Neodiprion lecontei: one gene and its partner. The protein of the gene in region 1 interacts with the protein of each later gene in a pairwise test. Links are inferred from orthologs where the notes say so. Each region holds a gene or a part of one and is shown on either strand. Other genes may lie near its edges.

The links.
Region 2: the proteins of proteasome subunit beta type-4 (region 1) and proteasome subunit alpha type-2 interact in binary tests that used the Drosophila melanogaster proteins (3 or more experiments, as listed by UniProt). The link is inferred for Neodiprion lecontei from reciprocal best matches to the Drosophila melanogaster genes Prosbeta7 and Prosalpha2.

What each region holds. Positions count from the first base shown.
Region 1 is NC_060263.1:14,690,626-14,694,831, reverse strand, and holds proteasome subunit beta type-4, read right to left. Parts: upstream 2,286-4,206; 5' UTR 2,243-2,285; coding exon 2,070-2,242; intron 1,758-2,069; coding exon 1,551-1,757; intron 1,463-1,550; coding exon 1,316-1,462; intron 1,149-1,315; coding exon 950-1,148; intron 849-949; coding exon 756-848; 3' UTR 578-755; downstream 1-577. Other genes in the region: methionine aminopeptidase 1D, mitochondrial, read left to right, coding at 17-127, 326-516. UniProt on the Drosophila melanogaster protein: Non-catalytic component of the proteasome, a multicatalytic proteinase complex which is characterized by its ability to cleave peptides with Arg, Phe, Tyr, Leu, and Glu adjacent to the leaving group at neutral or slightly basic pH.
Region 2 is NC_060265.1:26,830,227-26,834,836, reverse strand, and holds proteasome subunit alpha type-2, read left to right. Parts: upstream 1-1,779; 5' UTR 1,780-1,874; coding exon 1,875-1,915; intron 1,916-2,329; coding exon 2,330-2,662; intron 2,663-3,503; coding exon 3,504-3,834; 3' UTR 3,835-3,986; downstream 3,987-4,610. Other genes in the region: interleukin enhancer-binding factor 2, read right to left, coding at 1-187, 360-666, 783-1,089, 1,501-1,502. UniProt on the Drosophila melanogaster protein: The proteasome is a multicatalytic proteinase complex which is characterized by its ability to cleave peptides with Arg, Phe, Tyr, Leu, and Glu adjacent to the leaving group at neutral or slightly basic pH.

The DNA of each region.
Region 1 (4,206 bases):
ACTGTGCATCCATCAGGTCAGATTATTGAGGAAACAGCGCAAAAACATGGCTTTGGAATTGTTCCCGCTTTTGCAGGCCATGGCATTGGCAATTACTTCCATGGACCTCCAGATATTTGTCACTTCAGTAAGTTCGATTCATGACAGTAGGACTAGAGATATAGATTGTGGATTAAAAATTACTAACTTCTGGAATATATTCAGCTTGGGAAAATTTCAACCGAATAAATTGAACAATATCTTATGAATTTTGAACATTGTTATCAATTATATGTATGCATTAATTTTCCTACCTCTTAATAATTTCAACTTTCAATTTTTCCAGAAAACGACGAACCTGGAAAGATGCAGACTGGAATGACATTCACAATTGAACCTGTACTGACACAAGGTGGGCCTGACGTAGAAATCCTGGAGGATGGCTGGACGGCAGTGACCACAGACAATGCACGTACTGCTCAAGCGGAGCACACCATTCTGATTACTGATACAGGCAGTGAAATTCTGACTCAATAAATATATCAGAGTATGTAAATAGTATTAAATTCAAATACATCATGTACAGACGCGAACCATATAAATAAATCAAATTTTACGTTTTATTTTATTACTGATATAAAAGAAGAATCAATTTCACGGAGCTGCGCTAATAGTTCAATTCTGTGCTAGAACATTTGAAAACACATTCAACACTATTATCACATTCACCGCAGTTTTATGCAATTATTTGTATTCCCTCATATTCTGCATCATGTTTATCCAATCATGTGAGCAAGCTCCCAGTTGCTTTCTAGTGTCAGTGGTCCCCTAATCTCTATTCCTTCTTTACTTATGATTCCAATTTGGTACTGTAACACAGATGAAATTCAGATGCTTTATACCCAATTTTCAGTTCACTTTTAAACTATACTGTGGAAATTTTCATGCTTGTTCAGGAGGATTTACTGACCTTTGGAAATGATCTGGCATCTCTGTAAAAGAGAACCTGCATGGCTTTGGTCAAAATATCTATAGCTTCTTCTTTATTCAAATCTGGCTTAGACTCTAGAGCCTTTCTTAACAGAGGTGTAGCCATGTAAGCTCCGTAACCAGTTGCAATCACAGGATCAATGTAAGCTGTTCCGAGCTTGTCTACCGTTCCCATGAAACTGGGTGAATAGGTGTTTTATTAGCAACCCTCAAATAAACACGTGAAATTCAAGGGGGAATAATGAAATTTGAAGGTCTTAGACGATTGGCATTTGCCGAATTATTAGCTGTAGCATGTACAACCAAAATTGGCGTATCAATGTTCAGGGTTGATAAGTTTACTCACGGCTGTCCATATTCCAGTCCAGCGATGATAAAATTGTTCCAAAACGGATCAAATTTTGAGCGCCTATTGTACATTACTCTAGTCAACCAACAGTGCAGTGATTTAGGTTTCAAGGAGAATCCATCATCTAGGCATTCTTCTTCAAGTCTAGAATAATTGTTGGTAATACCGAGTCTTTAACAATTGTTTATTCAATTATAATAGCGTGTGTTAGATTCAATTCAGTGCAGCTTACATCTTTTGTTCAATGATGTTCTTCAGGTACTGAAAATCTGCATAATCTCCACCAGCTCCCAAGATGATGTTGTCATTGACCTTCATTATGCGCTGACAATTTCGGAAGCGGGCCAATGACCCGTACGACCCGAGCACATCAGCTGCTATCACAACTCCGTCTTTGAATTGAAGTCCAACTACTGAAGTCGCGGTAGTCAATGGTGCCCTATATTGTTGCAAAGAATTGACACTCGTACAATTTGATTCTGAATTAGACAAGGGAACGACTCATTTCCGTGTCATGACAAGCGGGTTTTTTTTTTTGGCAAGTTCTAGACGTTGCGGTTTAATGAATTTTACCGGGGCTTCAAGGAAAAATCATCAGGTACAACGATTGATGATAGTGAAACTTGGGACGTTTGTTTTGCATTGAAATTCAAAGTGTATGATATAACGGTAGAACAATATTTGACAGAGCAAGTATAGGTTACGTACCGGACGACGGACGAAAGAATAATTAGATGGAGTATAGACTTACTGTGATCGTTGTGAACCGTAAATGTCTGGGACCAAAGTATTGGCTGACAAATCATACGAAGCACTATGAAACGAGTCATTTTGCGCTGCCAAAAACGGAGAATAACGATTAGCTTCGCCTAGAAACGCCATGTTTTGACTGACTTGTGCTTTCAGTGTGTTCTGCGCAATCATCGCACGCAGCTGACCAGTTCCGTATGATCACGAACACGTCTTACATACAGGTCTTGCAACTCTGGTGCTGGGGGTAGGCTAGGAGCACCTAGGAGTGACTCAGATATTGAATCAATTTGTAGCTTACGGTTTCGGCACTACGTCGCTACTATCTAGACCGTGTTCGTAAATTGACTGACAGTACTCAAAATTCCCTAGAACAGCGTCAGAGCTATTCACGAACTTGGAAGCGCAAAAGAGATAAAAGATTGCTGACAATACTGTCAGTCAATTTTCGAACACGGCCCTAGTAGGGCTGAGTTACAGAACCTCAAATTTCGTTATTTTTGGCCGTTGTCGCAAACCGCTGAATGGTGAGGTTGCCCATTTTCTTTAATATTGCATTTTTTTCATATCATTACATTCGTTTTCATAGTATTAGTATCTGATATCCGCAATTTCGGATATCAATACAGTTATTTATGCTACATGTGGGATAAGTAGCAAATAATCGGACAGTCATGTTGTTGCGACATGAGCGTAAGGCTTATGGGACGTTCGTATGAAGACGCGTGTGGTAGATGTCGCTACGAGCCGTCGGGCGAGTTGCGACAACCACACGAGTCTTCATATGAACGTCTCATAAACCTTACAGCGAATGTCGTAATCACGAATGAGATATTTGCTACTTATCCCACGCGTAGAATACAATATTTTTTACAAAAACTGATCTGGAAGTCGAATTTGAGAGGAATATATTAATTTTAAAACTTAAATTACTATAGCGGCATCAGATGGCGTTTGAATAGTTTCTAGTAAGGTGAAAAAGATAGAGGCCGTGTTCGAAAATTGACTGACAGTACTGTCAGCAATCTTTTATCTCTTTTGCGCTGCCGAGTTCATGGACAGCTCTGTCTCTGCCCTAGGGAATTTTTAGTACTGGCAGTCAATTTACAAACACGGCCAGAGTGAGTTTAATACAGACTGTACTCGTGTGGTTATATTTCTATAGTAGTATAGTTTCGGTGGAATCTGTGCAGTTATCTGATACTTAACCGAACATGTGCGTTTATGAAACACATACCTATAGGGTATGTTCCGATATACACTGCGAGCACTGTAAGGTGTGACGTCAATTTAGTATACTGCGAAGCCGTTCCTTTATAGTTAGCTATACTGGTTACTGCTTAAAACGGAACGCAGTGGAGTATACTGTGATCGACATTTTTTGGCGTTACTTTCATTTCATACATAATATTTGTTTCACATTGCAATAAACACAATTTATTCAAATTTTCCATTTTTGTTTTTAACGGCCGGTATTTTTAAATGACAATATTCAATAATAATAATTATCAATAGTGGAAGCTGTTAAAGTTCTGAACGCTGTTGATCACGTGATCAAAGCACTGAGAGCACCTTACCTCGAAAGCACCGGTGTTCACAGTAGAAAAATGGCGACGATTTATGACGTCATATATTTCCCTAGGATACTGCGACTGTATACTGTCCGTCTATAACGGAACGAATTTCTCCCCAGTAAGAGCACTGAACAGTGCTCGCAGTGTATATCGGAACATACCCATAGTCAAGTATGCGATTATTGTGTGTTTCGGAGATAACATACAGCGCTCGAAAAGTCAACTTCCAGAGCAGGTGTTGTCAAAAAGTAATCAATGTGGTTGAGAGGTGTTACCGTTAGTGAGGCACACGGTCTTGTTTCCTATCTATCCGATAGGGGCGCCATTGGCCTGGGGTATGATAGGTATAGATATATACCGATAAGATAACCTGCTCATCGAAGTTTTTGACAGTTCATAACTCAGTGTAAAGTGTGTGTCAAACTGTCTCAAAAGTTGTGAGCCCTCGCTTGATGTTTATGGATTTTATTGACTTAAACATTTGAGGATTCCGTTAAAAAAAAACAATTATCACGCCCGCCATGGAATGCTAGTAAGCATCTCAATCATTTTTTATTCGCATTT
Region 2 (4,610 bases), on another chromosome or scaffold:
AGTGCTTGTCTGCTGGGATTATTCATGATTGCATTATGTGCCAGAAGATCTAGCATCCATGGTGACAGGGGTTCGAAACCCTCGAATCTGGTCCTCAAGTCTCTCAGCAATCTGATCAGTACTTTGATACTCGAGTGATGGGCATTTTCTTCGAACCATCGAGAGTGTCTGATAGCTGCTAGGTGCCCTGTAAAAAAAAAAAAAAAATTGAAACATGTTGAAACAAGGTTGATACTATTTTGCGAATTGAAAATAAAACTTGAATAGGTTTTTAAGCTTTGGTAACTATCTGAATTTTTTCTTGTGAAATTTTATCAAAAAGTCAAACGATCCGGGTGCAACACAATGTCGGTAAATACCTTGGCAGATTTTAACGTCAAGATGCTGCTCAGATTCCAATTTACGTAAGTTTTGATGCAAAGTAGTGATGAGGACACGAACAGTGGCCTCATTAGTTGAAAGATCAAATCCACGTTCCGTTTGAGTCAGCTTAAACGCCTCTTTAGGATTGCCCGCCTTCAAGTCTGTGTTTACTTTCGTGCCCAGCGCTTCAACCGCTGTTTTTGTAGGTAATGTTTTGAGGATAACAACGATGTCTGCTACATTGTGACCCTTGATCATTGTCCCTTTTTTGAAGCTCCCCACTTGTCTGACTTCCTCGAGTTGCTGTAAATGAAACGAATCCATCAATGTTCCTTCTCATTTTCGTTTCACTCGAAAAAAAAAAGAAAAACATAGCTTTAACTGTATTTACAGCCATTTTAAATTTGCTGTATACCCACACAAGCTTCGAAGGTTCCAGGTGCAACGATTAGATTATCCAGAACTCCTTGTAGCTTCGTAACGAGGTTCAAGATGGAATTCTGCTCTTTCGCTGTCGGACACATATCTGAATTTTTCTTCAGAAGTGCCGTAGTAAAGTCAGCCTCATCCGCAGCTGCCTTGACACGAGGAAACGCAGCCTCGCAAAGGGTGTAATCAAAGGGATGTCTGGGCAGGAACTGTTTCCTAGGAAATCCCATTCCACGCCCCATTCCTCCTCGACCACCTCTTATCATGCCGCCGCGAGCACCTCGAACCATATTAAGCCTGCAATGTCAGAACAAATCGAATGCATCGTTTAATCATTTCTGGAGTCGATGCATAGTTCACAAGATATTAAAAATTGGTGGGACGTGATTTCTGGCTCGATTGATGCTTGACGGCAATACGAGAGATAGATGAAATAAAAGAAATGTGCTGATGTGCTCTTTTAAGGTTTAATTTCACAATCGTTCAGAGCTCGCACGATTCTAATCAGGGTAATGTTTGGACTACGTATTGGCCAATCGCGTGTTGAGCGAGAGAGAAACCAATTATAACGAAAATATACCTCTCGTTTTCTCTCTCACTCACTCCTCGGCTAGACTTTCTGTACACGCAAAGCTACCTCCAGTAGTATATGCTCTAAGGTGCGAATGAACATTGAACGAAGAACCTAACCAAGCATAGCAGACTTACATTGCTGGAAGATCCAGGATCACCCTGAAAACAAATCGTATTCCGGTATTTCGTTACTCGGAGTGAGATGAGCTGTTATTTATTCTTCTAATCGAGTATTTATCGCGGTATTTATTCAATAATAACTTACCCTGGATAATTTATTTGAGCAATAGCCGACCTTAGTCCTCAGCGTGTGCTTAGCCGTGCTTAGCCGGTTTAACGATCCTGATGGCGTTTCATCTGAAGTCAACCGCGAGAGGCGCGAGAGCGCGAGTGTGCCGCGATTCGTGTCGCCATCTTGGATTCTACGTTCGAGATCGTTAACTTGAAAGTCGAAACTCTCCAGTTTCAGCCGTTCGAGCTTCAGGTTAGTGTATTGTTGCAAGGTAATCATGGCTTCGGAGCGGTACAGTTTTTCGCTGACTACGTTCAGGTAAGAACAGGGAATTTAACGTATTTCCTGTATTCTTGCGACCTTCAATCAATCAGTCTAACCGTTTCTGGAAAAATATTCAAAATTTTATCTTAGCCAGCAGTTTGAAAGTCCGTCAACTCGGTCCTAACCTAAAAACCACGTCAAGAATCGAAAAAGTTTCGTGTCAAACGAGTCTGAAACTTTATTCTCACCTAAGCAATATCAAACTTGTTTCAAATTTCTGTCTCAATCTCCATGGAAACTTGGAGTGAGCTTTATTGCATCCCATGTTTTGATCAAAGAATCTCCACTTTTTGTCCTGTCATTGTTACTCTACATCGTTTAAGGCTCAAATTTGATTGCGTCGACTATAAAACCTCATTATTCTTCACCATCATTTCAAAATTTTACATTTTTATTTTATACTTACAGCCCGTCGGGCAAGCTGGTGCAGATCGAGTATGCATTGGCTGCAGTATCAGCTGGGGCGCCTTCGGTTGGCATCAAGGCATCCAACGGAGTTGTTCTTGCCACTGAAAACAAGCACAAATCGATACTCTATGACGAACACAGTGTTAACAAGGTTGAAATGGTTACCAAGCATATTGGGATGATATATAGTGGAATGGGGCCTGACTATCGTCTACTTGTGAAGCAAGCTCGCAAAATCGCCCAGCAGTACTTGCTAGTGTACCAGGAACCAATTCCAACTGCGCAACTCGTTCAACGAGTAGCGATGCTCATGCAGGAGTACACGCAGTCAGGGTAAGATCAGAGTTTTCATGATTTCATATAATTAGCCGAAACTTGACTATAATTTCCAGCTGATATTTACTATGACCTCATGCAATTTAAACGGTTTTGAATGAATTTTATATGCTGTTTTTGACTTGATGTTTGGTATCAACGTTATAAACCATGAAAAGTAGACATTACCAAATTTAGATACAAGGTTTTAGCAAGCAGATGTGTGAGAAAAGTATATTTATGGAAAGAATTGTTGAAATCTGAAAGAGTTTGTCGTAAAATGGTTCTCGTTGGAAATTTCCATAATAGATTCATTGTTTGACATTTGTCAATCGAAGGGCATAAGACAAGTCGAAGAAAATTGCTTCACAAAGATTTAAAAGGAACCACGTGTAATGATTTACGCGTTATCTATTTTCGAGTAGCACAGAATAGACGAGGTTCCGCTTCACTTTTATGATTAAGAACAACCGGAAAGTTTAGGTGAGGGATTTAAATGAACGAGTCTGGTGTGCTGATGTTGGAATATGCCTTATGATTTATCGAACATGTGTCCGATTCGAAAGGTAAAGTCAGAATATCGTATGAAAGACGGACCAGGATTGCATCGAGAAATGAATAAAACAAAGTATGGGTGTGTGCAAAAAGCGGGGTGTGTAGGATCAAGGTTCCGGGAATAAGAAGCGGTAATCGGGTGTGTACAGGGTGTGCAAGGCTTGTATTGTTTGGCAAAATGGAGCGACTATTAGGTAGGAGGGATGAAAGTCGATGTATGAGTGAAATAGAACTGTGAAATAGTGCGGAGTACGTAACACATGCATAGTCACATTTTGGAACTGATTAAATAATGTCTGTGCAGAGGTGTACGTCCGTTCGGTGTTTCTCTGCTGATCTGCGGCTGGGACAACGACAAGCCGTACCTGTTCCAGTGCGATCCGTCGGGTGCTTATTACGCCTGGAAGGCAACCGCGATGGGAAAGAATCACATCAACGGTAAAACATTCCTGGAGAAGAGATACAGCGAAGATCTGGAGCTCGACGACGCCGTTCATACCGCTATTCTGACTTTGAAGGAAGGATTTGAGGGGCAAATGACCGCGGACAATATTGAAGTCGGCATTTGTGACGCCAATGGATTCAGGAGACTCCATCCGTCCAATGTCAAGGACTACCTTGCGAACATCCCCTAATTTTTTATTCTATCTACGTTTACTTTTTTTTTTTGTTTGTATTGTAATATCCATTAATTGAGTCGGCAATACGAATGTGCTCGCGAATAAAAAAATTTCTTGAAATAAACAAAAAAAAAAAAATGAATAAAAAATCGCTAGTGGATTTCTTACGTATGCCTTTTATATTAATTTGATTGAACAGTGTATATATCTTTTAATGTTTTAGGCATCTTACCACGAAGCAGATTTGTTTGAAATGATGTGTTCTTCCTATTTTCAGCCTCTTCTTTTTTCAAACCGACGACACTCTGTTATCGAATTTGCAATTAACGAAGTTGAATAAATACAGTCAAATTTAGTGTAAAAATTTAAGTTGTGGCATTTCGCCACGCGTGTTAGACGATTGCTATCTCTGACGCTCTCGCGTTTAATTTCGCGTGAGATTAGGTAAAGACCTGTTGGTTTCGTTTCCGTGTTTCTTTTTCATTTTTTTATTCAGTCATTTAAATTCTGGAATACCTGATTCGTAAGTGGCGGTCAAAGAACTCGTGTGAACTGCGGCAAAAATTAACAAGGCAATGACGCTCTGCGTGTGCACTTCGCTGTTCAATATTGAATCGGAATATCTAAGAGCTCTCCTCGAAACGTAATATTCGCGAGATGAAGTTTCGCCGCGAGGGGAGTGTAAAGTTGACAAGGCTCAGTTAATATTGAACGTTATACAACAACGGTACCGATCTAAGAGAAGAGAACGCGAAAGCCGTAACAGTTTCTATACATAATAGAGAGGGTGG